Linked DNA regions of Stegostoma tigrinum. The protein of the gene in region 2 interacts with the protein of the main gene of each other region in a pairwise test. Links are inferred from orthologs where the notes say so. Each region holds a gene or a part of one and is shown on either strand. Other genes may lie near its edges.

Region 1 (7,147 bases), on a different chromosome or scaffold from region 2:
TTGTAGTACAGCTTTCAAAAAAAAACAAAATCGTTACTTTTAAAAAACAGATTCAAACATTTACCATTTTAAAACAAAAAGGAGACTGAAGGACATTTTTGCAAGTCAGTCAAACGGATAACAAAAACGTCTCAAAAGGTTAAAAGTCGACACGGAATTCCGAATCTTAGCAATAATGCTTTGAGCAGTTGACATGCTGAGGTCAAGGCAAAGAAGGAAATTAAAGGCATTCGCAGCATCACTTTACACACTTTCTTAGAGTTAGCGATACGATGCAACAACATAGCGGTAGATACACCATTAAAACAGGGCATGGCGTCAAAAAAAAAAAACCAAGGTGGCAAAATTTTCCAAATTTCCAATTTCTAATGTGCTCAAAGTGCTTGCAATCGAGAGGTGTGAATGGAATGCGTTCTTCGGCAGGATGAATTGAAACTTCCAACTCCAAAACAACCCTGAACAATGCCCAAGAAATGGGATCATGGATGAATTCACCCACAGGACAACACGTCACAGAAACGTCACCCCCTTGTCTAGAATAATCCATCTGGGGAGCTGTTCGACATCCCATGAGGGTCGCTGCTGATGGTGAGTCTTTTGGCAATATCACTGGAAAAAAGCAGTCTATGAACGGAAATACAGCTTGAAGGCGGTGGAAAACAAGCCTGCTGAGGTCAAGGCAAGGCAGCTTTGTGGCGATGTACAAGTTTAAATCCTGTGGTATCTTGAACTATATGCTTGTGTTCTGGCTTCGTAAACCATTGAAAGTTCTTGATTGGAATGATGGTCGGAAGATGAAATTCAACATACAGGTGTGAAGTGATACATTCTGGCACAAAGAACATGGAGACAAAGTATAAATGTGTCCACTGCTGTCTGTATGGAGAAGCCACACCCACAATGCCATTAGGGAGAGAGTTTCAGGATTTAGAAACAATGACACTGAAGGAATGGCAATATATTTCCAAGTCTGGATGGAAAGTGGCTTGGAGATGGTGTTCCTACATGTCCACTACCCTTGTCCTTCTAGATGTTAGCGAGTATAGGTTTGAAAGGTTCAGTCTTAGGAGCCTTGGTGAATTCCTGCAGACCATCTTGTAAATATTACACATTGCTGCTAAGCGTCATTGGTGGAAGGACTGAATGATTGTGAAAATGATGCCAATTCAAGTGGACTGCTTTGTCCTGGATGGTATCAAGCCTGAGTGTTGGCGCTGCAATCATCAAGGGAAGTGAGAAGAATTCCCTGACTTTGCCTTGGAGATGGTGGAAAGGCTTTAGGCAGTTACAAGGCGAGTTACACACTGCAGGATTCCCAGCTCCTGACCCAGCTGCTATACTTATATGACTAGTCCACGTCAGTTTCTGATCAATGGTAACCCCCAAGATGTTGATTGAGTGTTTCAGTAATGGCTACGCCACTGAACGTCAATGTTAGATTCTCTCTCCTTAGAGATGGTCATTCCTTGGTACTCGGATGTCACTTGGAGTATACAAGCTCCATGTGCCACACCATAGGAAGGCTGTGAATATACCAGAAAGACTGAAGAGGTTTGCAAAAAAAAAATGGTTTCAGGGATGAAACACTTCAGTTTTGGGGAGGCAATGAAGACATTGGGACTGTTTTCTTTGGAGAGAAGGCTAAGAGGAGATTTAATAGTTTTGATAACCATGAGGGGTCGAGACAGGGTGGATCGGAAGCAACTGTCCCCACTTCCAGAAGGATCAAGAATCAGCTGGCATGGTTTCAAAATGGCTTGCAAAAGAAGAAAATGCAGGGAACTTTTTTCCCCCTCAAGTAGTTAGTAGGTGGAGTCTGGAACGCATTGTCCAGTAATGGAAGTATTCAAGAGAGCGTCGGACAATTATTTAAACAGAAACAATGTACCAAAAGAAAGGAGATTGACACGAAGATAAAGTGCTCAAATAGCTGTTTCAGAAACTAATAAACCTAATGACTTTCCACACCATGAGCTTCCTGAGATTCTCGAACAGTCAAGAATCACATAATACGGTGATTAACATTGCTCACTTTCCAATTAATCTCGGAAGGCAGTGCGCAACGAGGACTAATAAATTGGGCAACCAATATCATCAGCACGGGACAGTGTGTTTTGGTAGAACTTGGGATGTTACAAGGTAGGACTTGTGTGATGAAACCACGAGGAATACACCCAACGTTGGCAACCCTACAACAGATGCTTTTTATCTATTCGGCACATTACCAACATGATAAACACTCAAGAACGTCAGGATAAGCGAATTCTATTTCCAAACAGTGGGATCACCGTCATCGAGACGCTACGTAACTGTCCTAGATAACAAGGTGTAGAGCTGGATGAACACAGCAGGCCAAGCAGCATCAGAGGGGCACGAAAGCTGACGTTTCGGGCCTAGACCCTGAAGAAGGGTCCAGACCCGAAACATAAGTCTGCTGTGTTCATCCAGCTCTACACCTTGTTATCGCAGGTTCTCCAGCATCAGCAGTTCCTAATATCTCTACGTAACTATCCTATACTGATGGAAATGTTTCTGAAGCAATCTGTCCAGTTATTTTCCTGATTGGCCCTTTAAACGTTCTTAAGACATATCAGAAGACAGTAAACATCCTCAGGATCTTTCTGTCTGTATATTCCAAGATGAACTTTTTTTTTAAAAAAGGAGCATTACAAAAACAGGAAGGACGGGACAAGACACGGGGACGGCAGCCAGCTGCGGGTAGGATCTGGCGCAGCCAAGCCCAAGAGCTCAGTCAGTACACCTACTCCCTGACAAGGCCGCACACTCCGCAGAGATCGTAGTCTCACATCACCCATAACTGGAAAATAAGAAGAGGAAACCTACCGGGCCCCTCTGGGTGGAGACGGTTGTAGCCGCCATGTCCAATCCAGCCAAGCCACACTCTCGTCCACCACTGCCACTACCCCTACAGCCGTTCACAGCTCCTTCTCTGGGCGGCGGAACATCAACTGGGCTAAGGGCCGCTCACGACTCCTGCTCATTGGCTGGAGGAAGGGGTGGGAAATGAGCTCAGTGCCTTGCCATCGGTTAATTCTCGCGCAGTGCCGGCGTGCGGGCCTCCACGATTGGCTGCTCCTGGGAAGGGTCTACACCCATAAGCGCTACGATTGGCTTTTTCGGGGTACAGCCTGCAATCACAAAGCTACGATAGGCTGCTCCTTCACCGGCTCTGGTATTCTGGGCCCTGTGATCGGTTAATTCTGGAGAAGGTAGATCTGAGCTCGCTGATAGGTGGCAGCCTCTTCCCGCTTCCACGGAATGGATGTTGATCAGTTTTTCTGGACGCGGCTCAGTGTTTCTAGCATTTTCTGCATCTGTATCCGAAGTCTGTCACTGCCAGCCTTTTCCTCGCTTCCTTTGCACCCGGGTTGAGGCTAGGGTACAACTTTTGTCCGACTGGTCATACCGTGTTTTTACAGGAAATATTCAAACCTGTTTAGAAATTTAAGATATATAAAGTTGTCACGATCGGCGACGTTAGCAACGAGTAACGCAAAGCTTTCCCAAAGAGGTAGGTTTAAAGGTGGGATAACTGTGGTTCCAGGGACAGACGGCGTGGGAGTGCATAACGTACTCAGCATGAAAAATAATTTATGCATTTTAACAAGGCAAAGGTTTTACCAGTCAATATTTTCACAATTTGACGTGTGTAAGCAATTCAGAATAAATTTACCATGGTCGTGGTATCACACTATTGTTGTAATGCATTCAAACATAATAATATGGTAACACTTCATTGCTTTTCATATCCATGTGGCCTGTGTTGGCTCAACTGCGCAAAATAAGGAATACTATTAATGAATTTGATTTGATTTATTATTGTTACAAATACAGTGAAAATTGTTTAGTGTCGCCATTATCCAGCACCAGTTTGAAACACAGAAAATAAACCAAAACATAGAAAGTGAAGGCAGAAAATAAAGAAATGTTCAGCTTAGCATAGACCTGGATCTGGGCACTTGCCCCACCCCGATGCTAAGAACAACACAAGAATGAAGCAGGATGATAAAATGTGAGGCTGGATGAACACAGCAGGCCCAGCAGCATCTCAGGAGCACAAAAGCTGACGTTTCGGGCCTAGAGAAGGGTCTAGGCCGGAAACGTCAGCTTTTGTGCTCCTGAGATGCTGCTGGGCCTGCTGTGTTCATCCAGTCTCACATTTTATTATCTTGGATTCTCCAGCATCTGCAGTTCCCATTATCACTGATCCAAGAATGAAGCAGTCTGCCTTTACTGCATTGCCGCCACTAGAACAGAGTTGCCATTCTTCACCCCCATGTTGCCTCTACTAATGCTGCTGCCACCATGAGTCCTTGCCGATGATGTAACCACCACCAATGCAGTTGAGTGTACGGGCTCAAACTTGACCTGGCTGCTGACCCAAGTCTGCATCATAGTCCAAACTCGGTGATGCAGTCGCTGATGCTACTGGGTCTTGGATTGGGCCCAAACTTGCTTCCACCATCAAGAATCCAAAAACTTGTCACGCTTCTGCACTGAACTCATATTGCCGCCAATGATGCTGCTGCTCTCAATAAGAAGGTAAGTTTAAAAAAATGAGGAAAATTAAAAAGAAAGACAAGCAACTGGAGCAAACAAGCCCGAACTGTTCCTGCTCTGTCTCCACCATCTTGAAGTAGGACATGCTGTGACAGCATGATGATGTTTGGCGATAGCTTCGTGTCCTGTTCTAAATTGTCCTGGCAGCACTCAAAATTGAAAATACTAATTGGCATACTGAATATTTACACAGATGTAAACATTCTCTGGAAACTGGTTGCTAATACTGGTTGATTGCACTATTTTCATCCCAAGGAAAGAAACATACTAAGGCAAGGACGAGGCAACCATGGCGAACAGGGTAAGTCAGGGACAGCATAAAAGCAAAAGAAAAACGTGCTGCGTTGGGAAGACTAGTAGGAAACTAGAGAATTGTGAAGCCTTTAAAAACCAGCAGGGGATGACTTAAAAAACACAAAGAGGGAGAAGATGAAATATAAGGGTAAGCTAGCTAGTAATATAAACGAGGATTGCAAGAGTTTTATTCGATATTTGAAAGGTAACAGAGTGAAGTGTAGACATTGGATAACTGAAAAATGAGACTGGCGAAGTAGTAAAGGAAACAAGAAATAGTGGAGTATCTGAATAGATACTTTGCATAAGCCTTCACTGTGGAATACACCAGTAACATACCAGAACGTCAGGATAGTCAAGGGGCAGAGGTGAGTGTCATGGCCACCACTAAGAAGAAGGTGCTGGGGATGTTGAAAGGTCTGAAGATTGATAAATCATCCGTACCAAATGGACTACACCCCAGAGTTCTGAAGGAGATACTTGAGATTGTGAAGGCATTGGTGGTGATCTTTCGGGAATCATTGGAATCAGGAAGCGTCCCAGAGGACTGGAAAATGGCTCTGTTTAAGAGAGGGAGGCAGAAAATAGGAAACTTTAGAACGGTCACTGGTAAAATTTTAGAGTGCATTATTAAGAACAAAAACAAGGTTGCTGGAAAAGCGCAGCAGGTCTGGCAGTATCTGTGGAGGAGAAAACAGAGTTAATGTTCCGGGTCTGGTGACCCTTCCAGCATTATTAAGGTTGAGAGTACTTGGAAATGCATGATAAAATAGGACTGAATCACCAGTGCTTTCATCAAGGCTTCATGCCTGACAGATCTATAAAAATTCTTTGAGGAAGTGATGAGCAACTTTGCCAAAGGAGTGCCAGTGAACCTGATCTATTTGGATTTCCAGAAGGCCTTTGATGAAGTGCTGCAGAGAAAGCAGCTAAATAAGAGAAGAGCCCATGGTGTTAGGCGCAAGAAAGTGGCATAGATAGAGGCTTGGCTGACTGGCAAAGGGCAGAGAATGGGATTAAAGGGGTCTTTTTCAGGATGGAATCCCGTGACTAATGGAGTTCAGCATGGTCAATGTTGGGACCACAACTATTCATGTTATACATTAATGATCTGGATGTAGGAACTGTGAGAATTGTTGCTATGTTTGCAGATTACACAAAGCTAGGTGGAGGGATAAGTGTATTAGAGGAAGTGGGGAGGCCTCAGAAGGACTTGGAAAAGCTAGGAGAATGGGCAAAGAAGTGGCAGAAAGAGTACTGTATGGTCATGAACTTTGGTTGGAAGAATAGGAGGTGGATGATTTTCCAAATGGGGAAAGGCTTTGGAAATCTGAAGCATAAAGGGACTTAGGAGTTCTAGTTCAAGATTCTGAACTAGAACATGCAGGCTCAGTTGGCAGTTAGGAAGGCAAACACTTGATTGCAAGAGCTGGAATATAAGAGCAGAGTTATACTGAGGATGCTGTATAACTGGACTTTCCAAGTTCTTCTGGTCAGACTGCATTCAGAATATTGTGAGCATTTTTGGGCTCCATATGTAAGGTAGGATGTGCTGACTTTGGAGGAGGTCCAGAGGACATTTTCAATAGTCATCCCAGGGATGAAGGGTGAGGAGTGGTGTGAGGAGCGGTTAAGACCACTGGCACTGTTCTTGATGGAGTGTCGAAGGATGGCAGGTGAAAATCTTATTGAGATTTACAGAATACTGAGAGGGCTGGATAGAGTGGATGTGGAGGTGGTTTCCACTAAGAGGAAAGAATAGGACCTGAAGACACAGCCTCAGATTAAAAATATCACCCTTTAGAACTGAGATGAGATGGAATTTCTTCACCCACAGGGTAGTGAATCTGTGGAACTCATTGCCTTGGAAGACTGTGGAGGTCAAGTCATTGTGTCTGTTTAAGACAAAGATGTATAGGTTCTTGATTAGTAAGGGTATCACAGGTTACTGGGAGATGGGAGGAGAAGGGGGTTGAAAAACATATCAGCCATGATCAAATGATGGAGCAAATCCAGTGGTCTGAATAGCCTATCACTTCTCTATCATGTGGCATTATTTTCAGTTTTTTTGTACATGAAATCTCGCACTTATGTCACACATCATCCAGGCAGCCCCTCAGCTGTGGCAGTTTTGCAATGTCAGAGCTAATAGTGATAGTAACAAAAATGATCAGGTATGGCTGTCTAATATATTTATTATTATCTTAACATTCATCCGGCACCATCATCAAAAGCAACTTGCACTTTGGAGTTCTGAAGAAAAGTCAACAGA
Region 2 (7,308 bases):
CAACATAAAAAACATGAATACCTACTGTGACTCAACTCAGCTGTCTCCTTTGTATCCGAATGATCTCCCTGATTATAGAATACTGAGATTGATACCCGTAGGTATAGGTAATTGATTCTTTTTAATCACTCAAATGAATACAAAGATTAATCATTCAAGTATGTGCCAGCAACAACAAGCCTCACCTCTAGGCCCGAAACGTCGGCTTTTGTGCTCCTGAGATGCTGCTTGGCCTGCTGTGTTCATCCAGCCTCACATTTTATTATCTTGGAATCTCCAGCATCTGCAGTTCCCATTATCTCTGATACTATTTTAGCCTCACCTACTTTCAGCTCATACTAAAAGATGTACTGATTTTGATGCATGCCAAAACACAGCTATTTTTCAAAATTCACTGCTGATCACCAATGGTCCTCAGCCAAAACGTACTCAACACAAATTATGATATTGACACTAGATTATGTTAAATATCTCCATGAAGACTTAATGTGGATACTTTGTACAACACCATATATTGTGTATCTATATTGATTCTGTTAAGAAAGCAAAATTGAAAATGTGGCTATCATATCCTTCTATGTACATCTCTACCACTTAATAGAAATTAGATCATATTTGAAAATCTCCAGCACAATAAATACTACATTCTCAAGTGTTCCACAGATACAACATAATTTTTTAGACACCTAGGTGGCTTATTCTAACATGCATAACTATTACATCCGAAAACACAAAAGTATAAAAAAAAACTTGCATCCAGTGTGGTGCATGTATTACATTCCAGACACTACGTCACACCATGCTACTGGATACATTTTTTTAAACGGACAGTAAATGCAGTCGCTGATCTGGCACCTAAAACTTAGTTACAACTGCCCTTTGACTGACCTCAACAGTTTCTAAACAGTTACAATGAGCCAGATTCACATAACCCACACTCCACCTCCAAGTTAGGTCTTTAACAGCAAGCCTTCAAGCGGTGTTCACAGCAGCATCTTGCCATCACACGGCCTTGATTGGCTATCAGCTAGTATTTTATGTATACACGTTACAAGGCCTTTTATCTTGAAATACTTCGAACAAATATGTTTATTTACTGCTGAAATAAATACCGGATTCAATCCATTTTAAAATAATGGATAAATATGTGACCACCCGGCACTTACAGTATGAAATATGCCGAAGGACACAAGCTCTTTTACAAGATAAGCATGCGCACCTCATTGAAGAGATAAATAACGTCAGTTACCAGGGCAACCTGATCTAATTACATGATTGATCAGGTCCAGGGGTAGCGCAATGAAATCCTACACCAACATCTTTGTACGTGTAGTGCACACGACAGCTTCTCCAAGAACTTCCACACATGGAAATCATTTCTGAGACTTTCATTATCCAATGCATTGAACATGTTAACACACAGTTAATGTATTTTTAACTGCTTATTGTCAACACTGATGCAATGGCTTGGAAATAATTATAGTATTCCCAGTCTCATTCATGATCTTTTTACGCAGCAGCTCTGCCTCAGAAAGAGGAGTTACTGACTCACCAGAAAACAATGTCCACGTTTTGTTTTAAGTGTTTGTTTAATGTGGTGTTGCCTTGAATTTCTGCATTTGAATGACGGGAGGGTGGATAGTCAAAGTGTCAGACGCATAATGCTAGTGGACAAAAACTGATCTCGCCGCCCTTTGTTGCTCTTTCATTTGACACAAACTGTACTCATTTTAAACACAAAATTCTTGACGTGTTTGTGGGATAAGGGCTACAGATAAATTCTGGAGCCAATAGGTCCTTTGGACAAATGTGCTGAGATTTATCAAGTCCAACAATTTTTATATGCTTATTGGCCATCGATAACGACCTAGTTCAACACACACTCAAAACCAACAGCCTGCAATAATGTTGTAGAAAAAAGCAGATGGAGGAATAAGATTTGCCGATGAGTCACCGAGGTAGTAACAATAAAGAGACTTGCGTGGTGCCACTGTCTGCTTGGATGGTCTGACCGCATAGATATCGCACTACAATGTATCGGCAGCGTTGTAAACAAGATAAAAATGTTCCCTTCTGCAGACCAGCCCTATCTACCCGATTACGCAACGCTCTGGCGAGCCCGTCTCCTACATGACCCGATTAAACAAGCGGTCAGCTCCCTGACGAGCCGCCGTTTCCCGAGCCCTGCCGCGGCATCCCCTCAGTCTCCACCCCTACCAGCACCCAACCCCCCACCCCCATCCGCCTCCTCCCCAGCAAAACATCATCCCCCAAGCATTACCTGCCGTCCCCCCAACCCCAATCCTAACGCTCCCCACTCACACACAACCCGGACGAAAACATCACAGCACATACTCAGGGCAGCACTTCATAATCACACACAGACCACACAAAATACACACACAGTTTTCTCAATCAGATTTCTGAGCAAGGCTGTGTTTGTACTATAAGAGGGAGCCTAGCCATTTCATAACAACCTACACATACACAGAGCAAGGAAATGAAAGCAAATAGCCAATGTCGCTGGAGAAGAACCGTAAAATATATATTTCTTTATATAAAACACTTACAACATCAAAAAGGCGGTGATGCCCAAGACGTGGCGCTCCGCGATGAAGGAAGCCGAGCTTGTAGCTCTGTAGTAATGTCTGTCTTGCAGACACCACTCCTGCTCTGCTTCTCTCCTCCAGCGCTCGCTCTCACTGCGTGTGTGTAACATAAGCCAAATATGGAGCACTTGGCTGCGTCTGCTGATAGCTTAAGGATTCTACTATATGCAAAGGATGCAAGACAACACACATACTGGCCGGCTGCCAACAGATCCAGAGATTAATGTGAGCGCGTTGAGAGGGCTAGAAGAAAACTACGTAAAGAAGTCCTAATTGCAACAGAACACAGTCAACATATTGCAGTGTGTTATGTACGGGCATGGTATATACATCTACGCGTCAGCGCAGGAGTGCGATAAATTTTGAAAGTAAAGTTAAACTTGTAAAAGTCACGTGTACAGTACAACCAAGAAGTCCTTTAAAAGCCAGTCGAGTAACTTGCCTAGGGCAGTACAATAGAACGTGTTTGTTGCAACAGTGCAGATTGCAAGCTGCCAACTAATTTAACTCGTCCGATGCAGGAACTTACTGTGCTGAAGTGGAAGAAATGGGGCCGAATAGAAAGGTAAAATGAATCTGAATAGACGATAAATATATCAACATATGTATGAACCAATTTATGTAAGTAGAACTTTTTTCAGCTTTTAACAAGCTTTTGTCATTCTGAAGTATGGATTTTATTGAATGGAGGAAATGCTCAAATTCAAACTGTCCCAAGTGCAAACGACTGGTGTAAGTGTGTGATGCATGTGCGTTTTGGATTCCACTCGCTCTACTCCAATGACACCCATGCATTTTCACTTGAACCCAATTTATACTTCAAAGCCGAACCCTTCAAGGTTTGATTTCGAGTATGAGATTGCCTTTCCCACTCATCTTTCCAACGTCTGCAGTTAAAACTTTGCCTTCGTCATCGATGTGATCCTTGATTTCGAAATGCGCTGTCTGCTGAAGTGAACTGCGGAATATCCCTTTAAAAAGGGCGTTAGTGGAGCAGTTTTGGAAAGGTTCCTTTAAACAGAAACACGCTGCAGGAATATCCCATCCAGCTGAAGGGCCGCGCTCACTCTTTCCTGAGAGCAACATAAACAGCTGGAATCGCTCCCAGTCACTCATTCACTTCTGATTGGTCAGGGATGATGTAATGTTTCAATGCAGTGCAGACTTCACACACTAGGGTTGCTGCAGTGTGTTTGTCCTTTACAACACCAAGTGCTGGACACAGTCTTACTGTTGTTTTCCTAGTGGAAATGTCAGTGGATCCTGTTCCAACACCTTATTTACATGGATGAAATTAAAGCTTTTTGTTTCCCAGAAATTACAATGCGTCAATTTAGTACTCTAAGCTGCAATTGCTTGGAATTGTCTGACGTTCAGTGTTCCAATTATAGTATAATAATTTTCAACGTAATACATGTATTTTTGGAAACTGAATGTACTCAGAGTTGTAAAACTTAAGGATTCAAAGAGCCGTCAAGTCCTGATAAATGCATTTGAAAAAACTAAGTGGCAGTTGAGATATATACCTATTTATGTAGTTCTGGGTTTTATCATTTTTTAAAGAAAATGTTTTATACATAGGATGCTGCACAATATTTTTAATAAATGTACATGCAACATAAAACACAAATAGAATTGACTGTGGTAGTTCCCTGTAATCAACTGCTCCCATTAAATGCACACTTAAAGCACTAACATATGGAAACTCATAAGATTACTGACTGTACTGTTCATTTCTGACGTAATTCTAAAATGCCAGCTGGTTTATGAACTGATACAGAGCGATGAATTAGCTTAGTCATGGTTTACTGGGACTGTACAGCACTCTACAATGGCAACATATGGTATTTAGCTTTAGGCTAACTCTCATAGCATTAACTAGCATATTTAACATATTTAAAAACACAATCTTAAATGGGGAATAGGAATCAGTAAAAGGTGCCCTGCAAATCACCTTGACCTCTGTAATGTGAAGGTCATTCCTTAGTTTTGCCTGCATGCACCTGGCATTATCCCACCCTAAGATAGTTAAGGGGTGATGATCGGGATGGGGAATACCAACAGGATAGATTGGACCCTGGCTCTTCAGTAAATCAAACACATGTTGGAAAGTCTTAAACTTTGGTTCTTAGATCTAGAAGAGCCTGTTTGTCCCAGAATTATATATTGATAAATTATAAAATTACAGTATAATTCAGTATACATTGAATACAGATCAATTTAAATAAATATAATTCATGCACTCAAGGATCCCTTACTCCATGGAACATACAGACTGCACAAAAATAATATTGCACTTACATAACATTATTTTTCTCCAATTAAGCTTTGGGAAAATTGAACCAATCTTCTTTAACCCACGTTATACATTCATTTTCTTTGCCATTGACTGCATCTTCTGCCTGTTTAAATCTGAGCCAGACGGTACAAAACTTCCAGCCAGAATGGAGATTCTGCCCGCAGTCTGCACATCACTATGACCATCAATTCCCATTTTCATATCTTCTTATTTCCCATTCTTCTGTTCTGTAAACTTGATGCCATCCAAAATTCTGCTACCTCTGCCTTTATTTGCCCCAAGTCCTGCTCATTTCATCTTTCTGCTTTGCTTGCCTATAACGGCTTCCAGTTAAGCAATGCCTTGATTTTAAAATTCCCATACCTGTTTTGAAATCTCACCCATGGTTCAATCCTCCCTATTTTTGAATTCATCTCCAGCCCGCCAACCCTCTAAGTCATCTACAGATATCCAATTCTAGTCTCTTAAGCATCTTGTTGTTAATTGCTGCAGTACTGGTGTCTTCAACTGCCAGAAACTTCCTCCTTTAAAACCTTTCCTTTGTCCTTTGAAATTTGCTTAAAACATCTCTCTTTAAACACAATTTTGGTCACCTGTGGGTATCTCCTTACTTGACTTCATGCCAAATTTGGTTTTATAATGCTCCTATGCAGTGCTCTGTATCATTTTATTCTATTAAAAGTACTATATAGAACATAGAACATTACAGCACAGTACAGGCCCTTCAGCCCTCGATGTTGTGCCGACCTGCCGTACCAATCTGCAGCCCATCTAACCTACACTATTCCATGTACATCCATATGCTTGTCCAATGATGATTTAAATGTACTAAAGTTGGCAAATCCACTACCGTTGCAGGCAAAGCGTTCCATACCCTTACTACTCTGAGTTGTTGGATATAATCTATTTATAATATGTGAAGCTTTAGACAGGATGCAGAAAGGATTTGCAACAGTGATTCTGTGAATGAGGAACTTCAGTTACATGGTAAGATTAGACAAACTGGGATTATTCTTAGAAGAGAGAAGATTGAAAGGGGATTTGATAAAGGTGATAAAAGCATTAATGGTGTTATTGCAGACTGGACGAAGAGAAAGTTCCCTTTGGCAGAAGGGTTGAGAAACAGAAGATACTGATTGTGATGAAAGACAAGAAGAACTAAATGCAATATAAGGACAATATACAATGTTGTGAGTGGTTAGATTCTGGAATATACTATGAGGAGAGTGGTGAAAGTAGTTTTAATCATGGATTTAAAAAGGGAATTGATTAGCATCTGAACAGAATAAATTGCAGGACTATGGAGAAAGGTTAGATCATGGGATTAGCTAAAATAAATTCAAGAATCACAGATGCTGGAGATCTGAAGAAAGGTCACTGGACTCAAAATGTTAATTCTGTTTTATCTCCACAGATGCTGCCAGACCTGCTGAGTTTCTCCAGCCACTTCTGTTTCTGTTTCTGTTTGTGTGGAACTAGCTAATTTGGTCTTGCACAGTGCTAGCAAAGGCTCAATAACCTCATTTTGTGTTACAACAATTGTATATTTTCTGCGCTTAATTTCAGATACACATATAAATCTTGAGGGGTCTTATATTGGCTCTAGCCCTTCTGTGTTCAAGGGTAGCAAAGCTCTGTACTGTAGCCTTACCAATAATCCTTTCAAGTGGCTGCATTCAGGTTAACAGCATCCCACTATATGTCATCCTGCACCTTGGAATTTGGCAGTCTGCAACAATCAGTCGTATTCAGCTCTTTGTCATTCAGCAAGTTTATGGATCAAGCAGCAGTTAATATTTACTTGGTGTGCACTGTTGAGAACTATCCGTGGAGCAGAGTCCTGTGATAAGGAATTGTTCAAGGTAAACTTAAACAAAAATCTTACATTACTTTCCAGATGCAATGCACATTCTGGAAGTATAGGGGTGATAGTCTCTTCCCCAGCTCAGCTGTCACAGGGACAGTGTATACTGGCATGGAGTTATTAGGTATGTGTTCAGGATCTGACACAGAGTGCCCTTTTCTTCAGCAGCCAAGCCAAGTCCTGGCACTTGTTTGAAAATGTTGGTGCAGGAATCATCTAATAGATCCACTATCTCCTTTCCAGCAGGATCTCAAGTAGGTTGATTTCCAGTTCGGTGCATGATTAACTTGTGGTCAAAGTTGTTTTTCTGCAGAAACATTTCTGCATGGCCAGCTGGTGCAGCACAAGCTAACTGATGAGCATTCTGAACCAATGTGACTAAATGAGGACAGATAGAACTGGAGCATAGATTGACATTTCGGTCTTTCTGCACAGGGTCCAAGTATAGCTTTTTGGAGCCATACATAAAGATGGCCATTAGGATGAGGGGGATGTTGAAAGCATTTTTCCCTTTACCGGAGATTTGTAAATTGTGG
Region 3 (6,924 bases), on a different chromosome or scaffold from region 2:
CCCTGTAATTTTTGATAATGTTCTTCACTGTCAACGATACCTCCCAGTTTTATATCATCCACAAACTTACTAATCATGCCTTGTACAGTCACATCCAGATAATTTATGTAAATAACAAATTACAAAGGTCCCAGCACTGACTCCTGTGGCACAGCACTGTCACTGGCCTCCAGTCCGAGAAACAACTTTCAACCACCACCCTCTGCTTCCTGCCATCAAGCCAATTTTGAACCAGACGTTCTTCCACATACAGTCGTGAACGGTGGTGGACAATTAAGCAACTCACAGGAGGAGGCACCTCCACAAATATCTCCATCTTCAATGATGGAACAGCCCAGCACATCAGTGCAAAAGGTAAGGCTGAAGATTTCGTCACAATTTTCAGCTAGAATAGCTGAGTGGATGTTCCATCTCAGCCTCCTGCAGTGGTGTCCAGCATCACAGATAACAGTCTTCAGCCAATTCAATTTAGTCCACATGATACAAAGAAATGGTTGGAGACACTGGATCCTACAAAGGCTATGGGCCATGACACACCTCTGGCAATAGTACTGAACATTTGTGCTCCAAAACTTGCTGCTGCTCCCCTAGCCAAGCTTTCCAGTACAGCTGCAACACTGGCATCTATCCAACAATGTGGAAAATTGCCCAGATATGTCCTGTTCACAAAAAGCAGGACAAATCCATTAGGTCAATTGCTGCTCCAATAGTCTCCTCTCGATCATCAGTAAAGTGATGGAAGGTGTCAGTAACAGTGGCTATCAAGCAGCACATGCTCAGCAATAACCTGCTCAGTGACACCCAGTTTGGGTTCTGTCAGGGCCACTCAGCTCCTGTTCTCATTACAGCCTTGATTCAAACATGGATAAAACAGGTGAATTCAAGAGGGGAGGTGAGAGTGACAGCCCTTGAAAACAAGGCTGCATTTGACCAAGTGTGGCATCAAGGAACCCTGGCAAAACTGGAATAAATGAGTATGAGGGGGGGGAAACTCTCCAATGGTGGAAGTCATACCTGGCACATAGGAGGATGGCTGTAGTTAGTGGTGGTCAGTCATTTCAGTTTCAGACATCTCTGCAGGAGTTCCTCAGGGCAATATCTTAGCCCAACCATCTTCAGCTGTTTAATCAATGACCTTCCACCCATCATAAGGTCAGAAATAGGAATGTTTACTGATAATTGTACAATATTCAGCACCATTCCAACTCCTCGGATACTGAAGCAGTCCGTGTTCAAATACAGCAAGATCTGGACAATATCCAGGCTTGAGCTGACAAATGGCAAGTAACATTCATGCCATACAAATGCCAGGCTATGACCATCTCCGATAAGAGGCATTCTAATCACTGCCCTTTGACATCCGATGGTGTTACCATCGCTGAATCCCTCAATATCAGCATTCTTGAGGTTACTATTGACCATAAGCTCAACTGGACTCGCCATATCGACAATGGCTACAAGAGCAGGTCAGAGGCCAGAAATCCTGCAGCAGTAACTCACCTCCTGACTCCCCAAAGCCTGTCCATCATCTACAAGGTACAAACCAGGAGTGTGACAGAATACTCCCCACTTGTCTGGATGGATGCAGCTCCAACAACACTAATGAAGCTTGACACCATTCAGGACAAAGTAGCCCCCACTTGACTAGCACTACATCCTCAAGCATCCTACTCCTTCCACCAGCACTGCATGTTATTTGCTAGATGCACAGCAGAAATTCACCAAAGATCCTCAGGCAGCACTTTCTAAACCCTTGGCCACTTCCATCTGGAAGGACATGGTCAACAGAGGGTCTAGGCCCGAAACATCAGGTTTCCTTCTCCTGAGATGCTGCTTGGCCTGCTGTGTTCATCCAGCTCCACACCTTGTTAACCCAAATGCCATAAATGAATTTTAAAAATTCTAGAAACGCTCAAGCCAAAGGGAGAGATGCAACAGACAGAGTCTCTACTTCATTGAAGCTACCACACCAAAGAATTACTGGTATTTGCTACTTTTGTTGCAGTCATTGGCGATCCTGTATTTATGACAATGTGGCCTGGACACTCCCCTACAAGTGCAGCAACTTCCCCATGAAGACTGTATTCAACCCGGTCGTAATATTCATGAACAAAAACAGAAAAAACAGAAATTGCTGGAAAAGCTCACCAGGTCTAGTAGCATCTGAGGAGAGAAATCAGAGTTAACGTTTCAGGTCCGAAACATCAACTGATTCCTCTGAGATGCTGCCCGACCCGCTGAGCTTGTCCAGCAATTTCTTGTTTTTGTTTCGGATTTACAGCGTCTGTCGTTCTTTCAGTTTTCACGACCTTCAAGATCCCGAACAGTTCTGACTTACTGCTTCAGTTTGCCAAATGATCAAGTTCAGATGCACTTTCACAAAAGATTTCATCTTTAACCCGGTGAAAACATTTTTTTAAAAAACACTTTTTAAAAGATCAACTCAGGAATCGACTGACAGACACAAGTGCTCGCTTGGTGTGACGGTAAACAAGCAATTTTATAAACAAACAAATTCACAATACGACATATGACGCAGTGTTTCACACCGAGTCTCAGCTCCACCTGAGGAAAGCCACTCACCCCTAGCCCCACAGGGCAGGTACAGGGCCAAACTCCCCCCCACACCAAACAGGGAATCCGTCCCCGCGGCCCGTCTATCCCTACATCAGTCAGGGACTCCATCCCGGGGGGAGTGAGGAGGCTCCAGAATGGGAGCTCCGCTCCAAACCGGCCTCCCCCACCAACCAGATCCCTGCCCCATAGCAACGCGGCTCGGAGCACGGCCCAGTCGCTCTTCTGACACCCCGACCCCCGGACACACACACTCACACTTTCCCCCAATTACCTACCCCATTACCCCATTACCCCATTACCCCATTACCCCATTACCCCATTACCCCATTACCCCATTACCCCATTACCCCGACTCTCTGTCACTCACTCTCCTGTCACCGCCATGTTGCTGGTTTCTGCTCTCACGTGAGCTGCGTGGCCTTTAACCCCAGTCGGGTCACGCCCTCTTCCCCATTCGCCAATAGTGACTCGACGAGGGGTGGGGTGGGTCTGGAAACGTGTGGCCGCAAAGACCGCCGGGATTTGTAGTTCGCTTTTCCTGCCCACACTGAGCCCGCCCAGTCCGACACCGTGCGCTCTGACCCCGCCCACGGTGACCCCGCCCACTGTGACCCCGCCCTCTCCCCCGCTCAGGGAGGCCGCAGAAGCGACCCTTCAGCCCATCAAGGGAAGGGCCGTCTATCACTCCCAAACAGCTGCAGGGACTTCTTATTCTGCACTTCAGCCACACCATTTGTCTGGTCTTGTGAGCTCTCTCAGCCCACAAATTCTGTCAGAAATCACACAGCACCAGGTTATATTGGAAACATTAAGTCAATAAATGTGGAGCTGGAAAAGCACAGGTAGGTCTGAGGGGCAGAAGCAACAATGTTATGGGCTGGGACGTTGGCATTCCTGCTTCTCCGGTGCTGTCTGACCTGCTATGCTATTCCATTTCCTCCTTTATTGACAGCACCCTACCAATGTCCTCCGACGCCACTCGCAGATTGCCCGTTGAACCCTAATGTGTCCTGGTTACCCATTGAAAGGATAGAATCAGACCAAGCTGCGATGGTTTCGGTGGTTGAATTGGCACGAGTCATATGAAGTGAGTGATCCTTGCAGCTGTAACTCAGTTTGAGTCAGCAATTTCAGATGTCAGAGAGTAATGATCATAAAATTATATTGCAGTGCTGGCCTATGGAAGGCGTTGGATTAGTTTTCAAAGGCTTTTTGGGTTTAAAGGTCCATGTATGCTGCAGAATGCAGCCAGGCAGGGTGGAGTGGAAAAAAAGTACTGGAGAAACAATAGGTTAGTCAGCATCATGGAGAGAGCACACCTTCAGAACAGAAACAGAATGAAAAATCCACATTTCAATAGAATTGGAAAATAGGAGAGAAAGCGCAAAGTTCTGGTGATGACCTTCCCCTAGCCATTGGTGGTCACAGTGCTGCAATTTTAAAACAAACCCCTCCTCCCAGCCATCTTCCTGCAAAAATTCCATCCCCTCTTCCCAATTCCTTCACCTCTGCCGCATCTGCTCCCAGGATGAGGCATTCCACTCCCGTACATCTCAGATATCGGGCTTCGTCGGAGGCTTACTGATGATGTTACCTAGAATGGTGACGAAATGTCTGAAAACTAACCTTCCAGCTCGGCGAGCAAACTCACATCCACATCTCAGATATCCTCGTTCTTCAAGGACCGCAACTGCCTCCCCCCTCAGTGGTCGAGAACGCCCTTGACCGTGCCTCCCGCATTTCCCGCAACACATCCCTCACACCCCGTCCCCACAATAACCGCCAAAAGAGGATCCCCTTGTACTCACATACCACCCCACCAACCTCCGGATACAACACATCATCCTCTGACACTTCTGCCATCTACAATCCGACCCCACCACCCAAGACATTTTTCCATCCCCACCCCTGTCTGCTTTCCGGAGAGACCACTCTCTCCGTGACTCCCTTGTTCGCTCCACACTCCCCTCCAACCCCACCACACCCGGCACTTTTCCCTGCAACCGCAGGAAATGCTACACTTGCCCCCACACCTCCTCCCTCACCCACATCCCAGGCGCCAAGAAGACTTTCCACATCAAGCAGATGTTCACCTGCACATCTGCCAATGTAGTATACTGTATCCGTTGTACCCGGTGTGGCTTCCTCTACATTGGGGAAACCAAGCAGAGGCTTGGGGACTGCTTTGCAGAGCACCTATGCTCAGTTTGCAATAAACAACTGCACCTCCCAGGTGCGAACCATTTTAACTCCCCCTCCCATTCCTCAGATGACATGTCCATCCTGGGCCTCCTGCAGTGCCACAGCAATGCTACCCAAAGGTTGCAGGAACAGCAACTCATATTCCACTTGGGAACCCTGCAGCCCAATGGTATCAATGTGGACTTCACAAGCTTCAAAATCTACCCCACCCCCACTGCATCACAAAACCAGCCCAGCTCATCCCCACCTCCCTAACCTGTTCTTCCTCTCACCTATTCCCTCCTCCCACCTCAAGCCGCACCTCCATTTCCTACCTACTAACCTCATCCCGCCCCCTTGACCTGTCCATCATCCCCGGACTGACCTATCCCTTCCCTACATCCCCACCTGTACTCACCTCAACAGGCTCCATCCCCACCCTTTTAACTTGTCTGTCTCCTCTCCACCTGTCTTCTCCTCTATCCATCTTTCATCTGCCTCCCTCTCTCTCCCTATTTATTTCAGAACCCTTTCCCCATCCCCCTTTTCTGATGAAGGGTCTAGGCCCGAAACGTCAGCTTTTGTGCTCCTGAGATGTTGCTTGGCCTACTGTGTTCATCCAGCTTCACACCTTGTTACTAAAACATTGCCACATTGGTGTTCACACCATACAACTGCCAGGCGATGACCCATCTCCAACAAGTGAGAATCTAACCACTGAGCCTTCATTTTCAGTAGCCTCACCATCAATCTATCCCCAGCTATCAACATCCTGACAGGTTACCATTGACCAGAAGCTGAACAGAGCTAGAGGTACAAACACAGTGACTACTCCAGCAGGTCGGTGGTTACAAATCCTGCAGCAATAACTCAACTCCTGACTCTCCAAAGCCTGCCCACCATCTCCACATGGATGAAGTCAGGTAACAGATTGAAATTTTACTTTTGCTGTGTGATTAAGATACTTCTGACTGAGTTCTATATTTAAATAGCTTCATTTTTATTAATTTTTATTTTGTGAAATGCTTTCTGTTCAGTTGTTGTAGAAACACAGCGATTGGGCATCACACTACCTAAGCTCTTTTTTGAAAAATCCATCAAACCAAATTTTCATTCTGGAGCTTGTCCTTGTGTGACTTTCCCAGCATTACTATCAACTGGGATCATTACACTACCCTGAACAAGTCATCATTGCACCAATGGACAGTGTTGGCCAACAAATCCCTATCAAAAGCCTGGATCAATAGCAAGCCCAGGAGGATGGGGTGCGAGCAAATGGAATAGTTGAGTTGCTGATCACATCCACCCCCTGGAAGCTTTGCAGAACGATTTTCGAGATGTAGATGAAGACTTACAGAGTTGAACGGTGTTTGAAGGATGAGTATAAGTCAACAACGCTGACAGTCCCTGACTGGAAATTCTACAGTCGATGCAATCACTAGAACGCTGCAAAATAGCAAAGCGTGTAGAAGATGTGGCATTTTGCATGGTCTGAGGATTTATTTCTAAAATACATTTCTGGGACATGGGCATTGCCGGCTGAACCAGCATTTATTGCCCCTCCCTAGTTGCACTTGAAGAGGTGGGGGTGAGCTGCTTCTTGAACTGCTACAGTCCATTTGCTGTGGGTTGACCCACAATGCCCTTAGGGAGGGAATTCCAGGATTTTGACCCAGTGGCAGTGAAGGAACAGCGATACGGTTCCAATTCAGGATGGTGAGGGGTTTGGAGGGGAACTTGCAGGGGATGGTATTCCCATGTATCTGCTGCCCCTTGTCCTTCTAGATGGAAATGGCCATGGGTTTGGAAGGTGCTGTCTGAGGATCTTTGGTGAATTTCTGTAGTGTGTGTTTTAGACGGTACACACTGCTGTGACTGAGTGTCGGTGGTGGTGGGTGTGGATGTGGTGCCAATCAAGTGGAGACTGTTTAGTCCTGGATGGTGTCGAGCTTCTTGAGTGTTGTTGGAGCTGCCCCCATCCAGGCAAGTGGGGAGTATTCCATCCCACTCCTGACTTGTGCCTTGTAGATGGTGGGCAGGCTTTGAGGAGTCATGAGGTGAGTTACTCACCACAGTATTCCCAGCTTCTGGCCTGCACTTGTAGCCATTGTGTTAATGCAGTGAGTCCAGTTGAGTTTCTGGTCAATGACAAACCCCAGGATGTTG
Region 4 (7,371 bases), on a different chromosome or scaffold from region 2:
CTCAAACTATCTCACAAGAGTATCCCTCCTTATCCAGGATCAAACTACTGAACCTTCTCTAAACTGTCTCCAATGCCAGTGTGCCTTTTATTGGATAAGGGGCTCAGAACTGCTTCAAGTATTCAACTACAGTCTGACTTGTATAGGCCTTGTATAGTTTTAGCAAAATGACTCATTCCCTTTGTAAAAGGAAAGCGAAGATTGCATTTGTCTTCCCTATTACCTGCTGAACTTGGATACTGGCAATTTGAGATCCGTGCATGAGAAATCACAAACTCTATGCTGTAGCTTTCTGCAGGCTTTCTCTATTTAAATAATATTTGCCTCCTCTATTCTTCCTCACATGTCCACCACATAATATTCCATTTAAAGTTTTTGCCCACTTGCTTAACCTGCCTATATGCCTCTGCAAAGTCTTTGTGTCACCCTCACTACGAGCCTTTCCACCTATCTTTGTGCTGTCCACAAATTGGACTACAGTACAAATCATGAAAAGGGTAGATAGAAGTGGATAGTGAGAAGTTCCTTCCACTTGCAAAAGGAAGGAAAATGAGATGGCGTAAATTAGAAGTCTCGCAAAAGCAGCAAATGTGATGAGAGTTCATTCTTTTCCACCTAGTGAACAATTAGGGTCTGGAACGTGCAGCCTGGAAACATGGTCGAGGCAGCATTCACTGATTACTTGGATACAATAACATGCAAGAGTGTGGCGGAGCAAGGACGTAGGAGATCGGTCACACATGACAATGTTCATTTGAGGAACTGTCGCGCCCAATGGCATCAATCTGCACCATAACAATTCTGTGATATATTGCAAATAATTGCAAGAACAGTATTGATCCCTATGGCACTCAACTAGTTATAGGTTATCATCTGAAAATACCCTCCGTTATACAAACTGATGTTTTAGCCAATTCTCTATCCAGGCTAATATAGTGCCTCCTTCTCTTATTAAATAGCATTATGTGTGGTACCTTCTCAAACACCTTCTGAAAATCCTAACACATCACATTCACACTTTTCCCCTTATCTAATCCTCTTCATTATTACCTCAAAAGAATTCTAGAGAACTTATCAGGCATGTTTCCCATTGATGAAGCCATCTTACTATTGCTTGATTATATTTCTAAATGCTCTGCTATTACATCCTTTATAAAAGACGCTAGCACTTTCCCCAACAAGTGATGTTAAGGTAACTGGCTTACAGTTACCAAGCATTTTGGTTGCTTCTGTTTTCAAATTAAGGTGTTACATTGGCAGCTTTATTATACTTGATCCGTGCTGACACCACAAGTTTATTCCTCCTGGTAAGGGTGGACGTCATTTGGGCCAGAATGGACAGCCAGAGGACCTACTGCTGACTGATGAGATGACAATGTTTGAGCTGGCATAAAGGGAGAGTGAGAAGCAAACCATTCTGAACCTTGGACTTTTTGATCAGTAGGATGATCGCATCCTCAGGGTCCTGTTGCTCCTTCTCATGGTGCGAGAACAACTGGATGGCAGCAAGAAACGCTGGAGAGAAGGAAATCAGAAAACAGCACTTTAGAGAAAGTGAAAGAAAAGGAGGCTGGTTGGTGATCACAATTATGAGAGAGTCCAGAGTGAAGTAAGTGGATTGGCATGCTGACTATAATGGGGCAATCACCAGGGTAGGGGGAGGAACAGGGGTGAACACTGCAGGGAGGGAGGGCGACATATGTCCACAGAACATGAAAAACCTATCTCTTGATCCTGTAACTAGGGAACCAACATCCATGAGGACAGGATCACAACACTGGGTGGAGTGAGATCAGCTGGAGATCACTGTTCACTGCCCTACCCCAAGAGGCAGGGCACACCGCCTGACAAGCTCCATGTCCCATCGATGCCAGGACAACAGCCCCGTCTCCCGAGAGGCTGCCCCCCACTGAGAGAGCAACTTCAAACCTCTCAGGAAAGACTCCCCATAGTCCGTGGGGGGGGGTGATAGGGGAAGGTCGGGTGGGTGTGGGACGGGGGGGGGGTGATAGGGGAAGATCAGGTGGGTGTGGGACGGGGGGGGTGATAGGGGAAGGTCGGGTGGGTGTGGGACGGGGGGGGGTGATAGGGGAAGATCAGGTGGGTGTGGGACGGGGGGGGGGTGATAGGGGAAGATCAGGTGGGTGTGGGACGGGGGGGGTGATAGGGGAAGGTCGGGTGGGTGTGGGACGGGGGGGGGTGATAGGGGAAGATCAGGTGGGTGTGGGACGGGGGGGGTGATAGGGGAAGGTCAGGTGGGTGTGGGACGGGTGGGTGGGGGTCACGGGGAAGAGGAGAACGGGGTAGGTGGAGGAGGGGGGGGAGAAGAAGAGAGGAAGGTCACGCGGGGGGGAAAGAGGGGAAGGTCACGGGGGGGGGAAGAGGGGAAGGTCACGGGGGGGGGAAGAGGGGAAGGTCACGGGGGGGGGAAGAGGGGAAGGTCACGGGGGGGGAAGAGGGGAAGGTCACGGGGGGGGGAAAGAGGGGAAGGTCACAGGGTGGGTGGGGAGGGGAAGGTCACGGGGAGGGGTGGGGCAAGGTCACGGGGAGAGGGGGTGGGGCAAGGTCACGGGGAGAGGGGTGGGGCAAGGTCACGGGGAGAGGGGTGGGGCAAGGTCACGGGGAGAGGGGTGGGGCAAGGTCACGGGGAGGGGTGGGGATCACGGTGAGGGTCAGAGCACTGCATGGACCCTGCGGCCCGGGCCACGGGAGCCCACAGAGAGGGGAATCAGGTCGGGACTGAGGACGTCGGGGGGAGGCGGGGTCAGTGCAGGCTCCGCCCAGGGCCGGGTGACCGACCGGTTCCACCCCTCTTACCCACTGCCGCCGCGCTCAGGTTCCCATTTCCGGGGCGGCCGCGGCTCTCCGTTCGGGCGTGGGCGTTGGCCGGGGCGGGGGCGGGGGCCGCGGCCCAGGCGCCGCGAATCCTGACCCTTCGGCCGCAGCTCAGGCCCCGGGATACTGCCGACGGCAGCATCACCCCGGCAACGGGGCGGAAACACGTCAACACCGGAAACAGGTAGCGGAACATTTGATCAACAGACATTTAAAGGGCCAGGTACCCCCATGTTCTTAAAGGGCCAGGTACCCCCATGTTCTTAAAGGGCCAGGTACCCCCATGTTCTTAAAGGAGTCTGGAATTAAAGTGTCTGGGTGGCGGGATGTGTGTCAGACTGATTTCTGATTTTGTGAGAACACGTTTTCTCACTGCTTTTTTGGTGGACTTTATAAAGTTAAGGTGTAAATTTAACCAGAAATAGTGTTTATTTCACACATTGTCAGGTGTACGGTGGGCAATACTTTACAACAGATACATGCTGACATGGCTGCACAAGGATTAAATTGAAAAGGATAAGGCAATTGTTCAGTTCGTAAAAAGTGCAAACAAACCGAGTGATAAAATGTGAGGCTGGATGAACACAGCAGGCCAAGCAGCATCTCAGGAGCACAAAAGCTGACGTTTCGGGCCTAGACCCTTCATCAGAGAGGGGGATGGGGGGAGGGAACTGGAATAAATAGGGAGAGAGGGGGAGGCGGACCGAAGATGGAGAGAAAAGAAGATAGGTGGAGAGAGTGTAGGTGGGGAGGTAGGGAGGGGATAGGTCAGTCCAGGGAAGACGGACAGGTCAAGGAGGTGGGATGAGGTTAGTAGGTAGCTGGGGGTGCGGCTTGGTGTGGGAGGAAGGGATGGGTGAGAGGAAGAACCGGTTAGGGAGGCAGAGACCGGTTGGACTGGTTTTGGGATGCAGTGGGTGGGGGGGAAGAGCTGGGCTGGTTGTGTGGTGCAGTGGGGGGAGGGGACGAACTGGGCTGGTTTAGGGATGCAGTGGGGGAAGGGGAGATTTTGAAACTGGTGAAGTCCACATTGATACCATATGGCTGCAGGGTTCCCAGGCGGAATATGAGTTGCTGTTCCTGCAACCTTCGGGTGGCATCATTGTGGCAGTGCAGGAGGCCCATGATGGACATGTCATCAAGAGAATGGGAGGGGGAGTGGAAATGGTTTGCGACTGGGAGGTGCAGTTGTTTTTTGCGAACTGAGCGGAGGTGTTCTGCAAAGCGGTCCCCAAGCCTCCTTGGCAACTGCACCTCCCAGTCGCAAACCATTTCCACTCCCCCTCCCATTCTCTTGATGACATGTCCATCATGGGCCTCCTGCACTGCCACAATGATGCCACCCGAAGGTTGCAGGAACAGCAACTCATATTCCGCCTGGGAACCCTGCAGCCATATGGTATCAATGTGGACTTCACCCGTTTCAAAATCTCCCCTTCCCCTACTGCATCCCTCAACCAGCCCAGTTCGTCCCCTCCCCCCACTGCACCACACAACCAGCCCAGCTCTTCCCCCCCACCCACTGCATCCCAAAACCAGTCCAAACTGTCTCTGCCTCCCTAACCGGTTCTTCCTCTCACCCATCCCTTCCTCCCACCCCAAGCCGCACCCCCCGCTACCTACTAACCTCATCCCACCTCCTTGACCTGTCCGTCTTCCCTGGACTGACCTATCCCCTCCCTACCTCCCCACCTACACTCTCTCCACCTATCTTCTTTACTCTCCATCTTCGGTCCGCCTCCCCCTCTCTCCCTATTTATTCCAGTTCCCTCCCCCCATCCCCCTCTCTGATGAAGGGTCTAGGCCCGAAACGTCAGCTTTTGTGCTCCTGAGATGCTGCTTGGCCTGCTGTGTTCATCCAGCCTCACATTTTATTATCTTGGAATCTCCAGCATCTGCAGTCCCCATTATCTCTAACAAACCGAGTGATACCAGTTCATCAGTGTCTTTGATTTTGAAAATAGAAACCAAATGGTTGAGGCCAGAAGTCGCAGCATGAAATGAGGATGAATGGTGATCGATTGGCTGACGAGCTGTTCAGAAGTCAGAGATAATTTGTTCCCCTTAAAAATTCCTTATAAACTCAACTCAAGAATATTCATAGAATCCCTGCAGTGTGGTAGCAAGCCATTAAAGTCCATCAAGTCCACACCACCCCTCTGAAGAGCGTCCCATCCAGACCCATCCCAACTGTCTTATCCCCTGCCTTTCCCATGCTTAATCCACGCCAATTCTTGGACACTGTGGGCAATTTCCCATGGCCTGTTCACATAACTTGCAAACCTTTGGACTGTGGGAGGAAACCAGAGCACCTGGAAAAAAAAACAGAGATAATGGGAACTGCAGATGCTGGAGAATCCAAGATAACAAAGTGTGAAGCTGGATGAACACAGCAGGACAAGCAGCATCTTACCACACAGGGACAGGGAGAATGTGAAAATTTCACATGTGGGTGAAATTGAACCCAGGTCCCTAGCATTATGAGGCAGCAGTACTGACCACTGAGCCACCATGCTGCCTAATATTGCTGTAATTTAATTTTGATTTAACTGCTTTAACAAAAGAAGGATGATTACTTTGAGAGCACACAACATACAGGTTCTGACGAGTTATTCCTGACCCGAAGCATTAACGTCTTTTTTTCTCCACAGAACCTGCCAGACCTATTTGGTTTCTCCAGCAATTTCTGTGCTTTTCAAATTTGTTTGCCAGATGCTGTAGTATTTTGCTTTTATACAAAAAGCACGTTATTAACTGCTTTTTACATGGCAGAGTCTTCTCCTTTGTCGCCTGGAATTATGTGTTTCGATATCATTGAATATATCTGTAAATAAATACATACAGCAGAATTAAAAGGTTCAGAACTGAAGGAACCATGTGATCAAGCTTCCAGGGGGGAGGGCATGTTGGTGGAGGGGTGCAGAGTGAAGAGGGGTGTAACCAGTTATTTTGAGACAAACAGTTGCATTCCACATAAACACGTCTGCTACAGAATAGGGCTACCTTCTAATTTTATTGAGGATGATATTCTTCCCAGGAACAATCAGTCTCTGTGGCACTTTATAACACAATAGTTGGAATTCCAGTCCCATCATGGGGTGTTGATTATCCAACTGACTCTGACTTCAGAGAAGCTTCTGGTTAGTTAATGCTAAGTTTTTGTAACCAAGTGAGCACTAGTGAGTGGTATCTTTGTGCACTTTTTGCTGTACTTTATGTGTTCCTGTATTTAGTACATGTGACAAATAAATGAATCTAAGTCCAGTGACATTATTGTGACAGCATCTTTATTGGGCTGTTTAATATGTTTCTAAGAGTCATAGAACATAGAACAATACAGTGCAGAACAGGCCCTTCGGCCCTCAATGTTGCGCCGACCTGTGAACTAATCTAAGCCCCTCCCCCTACATTCTCCCATCATTATCCATATGCTTATCCAAGTCACTAAATATAGCCCTAAGAGAAACAATTAATCACTTTTTTTCTTTACAGAACCAGCTTCAGCAGTGCCCTAGACCAGCAATAGTAGGACATTCAGCCCATCGAGTCTGTTCCGCAATTCAATGAGATCATGGCTAATCTGATAATCCTCAACTCCACCTTCCTGCCTTTTCTTCACAACCCTTGATTCCCTTTGCTGATGAAAAATCAGTCTTAAATATACTTAATGACCCTGTCTCAAAAGCCCTCTGTGGTAAACAATTCCACATCTTCACAGCCCTCCAAAACAGGAAATTCCTCCTCATCTTTGTCTTAAATGTACGAGCCTTTATTCTGAGATTAGACCCTCTGGTCCTAAACTGTCTGATCTTTCTGCATTGACACTGTAAAGCCCGTAAGAAACTTGCATGGTTCAATAACGTTGTCTCTCGCTTTTCTAAATGACAATGAGTACAGGCCCAATCTATTCAACCTCTCTTTATAAGACGGTTACACTGTACCTCGCATCAGCCACGTGAACCTTCTCTGGGCTGTCTCCAATGCAAGGACATCTTTTCTTAGATAAGGGGCACAATTTTAATTCTAAAAAGGCATTTCTTACAATGTTGTCAATTTCTGCTGTTTTTCCTTGTTCTCTTGTAATTGCCCTGATGGTTGTTTTTTTCTGTCCTTAGTTTGCATTGTTTGTCCTGTTTTGTTTTCTATCATTATTTAGCATCATTCAATAATTTTAATAAGCACAGTATGGACTCAATGGACTCCCAGCAAATTCTAAAACATTGATATAAATTGCAAGAAGCTGAGGCCCCAGCTCTCCTGTGATAGCAAATGCAATTCTATTATTCAAAAAGTGAGGAAGACAGAACACTCAGGTGATGCTGAGGAAGTGGGGAGGCTGCAGAATGACTTGGACAGGCTAGAAGAGTGAGAAAAGAAGTAGCAGATGGAATACAATGTGGGAAAGCTTTGGTAGGAAATTTGGTAGGAAGAGTAGAGGCTGAGACCATTTTCTAAATGGGGAAAGGCTTCAGAAATCTGAAGCACAAAGGGACTCAGTCATAGAATCATAGAAAGAGGCCCTTCAACCCAAACTGG

The links.
Region 1: the proteins of atxn1a (region 2) and tollip interact in binary tests that used the Homo sapiens proteins (3 or more experiments, as listed by UniProt). The link is inferred for Stegostoma tigrinum from reciprocal best matches to the Homo sapiens genes ATXN1 and TOLLIP.
Region 3: the proteins of atxn1a (region 2) and pepd interact in binary tests that used the Homo sapiens proteins (3 or more experiments, as listed by UniProt). The link is inferred for Stegostoma tigrinum from reciprocal best matches to the Homo sapiens genes ATXN1 and PEPD.
Region 4: the proteins of atxn1a (region 2) and ttc19 interact in binary tests that used the Homo sapiens proteins (3 or more experiments, as listed by UniProt). The link is inferred for Stegostoma tigrinum from reciprocal best matches to the Homo sapiens genes ATXN1 and TTC19.

What each region holds. Positions count from the first base shown.
Region 1 is NC_081370.1:25,089,758-25,096,904, reverse strand, and holds the start of tollip (toll-interacting protein), read right to left. Parts: upstream 3,016-7,147; 5' UTR 2,881-3,015; coding exon 2,845-2,880; intron 1-2,844. UniProt on the Homo sapiens protein: Component of the signaling pathway of IL-1 and Toll-like receptors. Inhibits cell activation by microbial products. Recruits IRAK1 to the IL-1 receptor complex. Inhibits IRAK1 phosphorylation and kinase activity.
Region 2 is NC_081355.1:38,405,260-38,412,567, forward strand, and holds the start of atxn1a (ataxin-1a), read right to left. Parts: upstream 3,008-7,308; 5' UTR 2,571-3,007; intron 1-2,570. UniProt on the Homo sapiens protein: Chromatin-binding factor that repress Notch signaling in the absence of Notch intracellular domain by acting as a CBF1 corepressor. Binds to the HEY promoter and might assist, along with NCOR2, RBPJ-mediated repression. Binds RNA in vitro.
Region 3 is NC_081369.1:65,641,634-65,648,557, reverse strand, and holds the start of pepd (xaa-Pro dipeptidase), read right to left. Parts: upstream 3,023-6,924; 5' UTR 2,962-3,022; coding exon 2,945-2,961; intron 1-2,944. UniProt on the Homo sapiens protein: Dipeptidase that catalyzes the hydrolysis of dipeptides with a prolyl (Xaa-Pro) or hydroxyprolyl residue in the C-terminal position.
Region 4 is NC_081358.1:127,544,303-127,551,673, forward strand, and holds the start of ttc19 (tetratricopeptide repeat protein 19, mitochondrial), read right to left. Parts: upstream 3,012-7,371; 5' UTR 2,978-3,011; coding exon 2,818-2,977; intron 1,991-2,817; exon of another isoform or gene 1,866-1,990; coding exon of another isoform or gene 1,823-1,865; intron 1,516-1,822; coding exon 1,424-1,515; intron 1-1,423. UniProt on the Homo sapiens protein: Required for the preservation of the structural and functional integrity of mitochondrial respiratory complex III by allowing the physiological turnover of the Rieske protein UQCRFS1.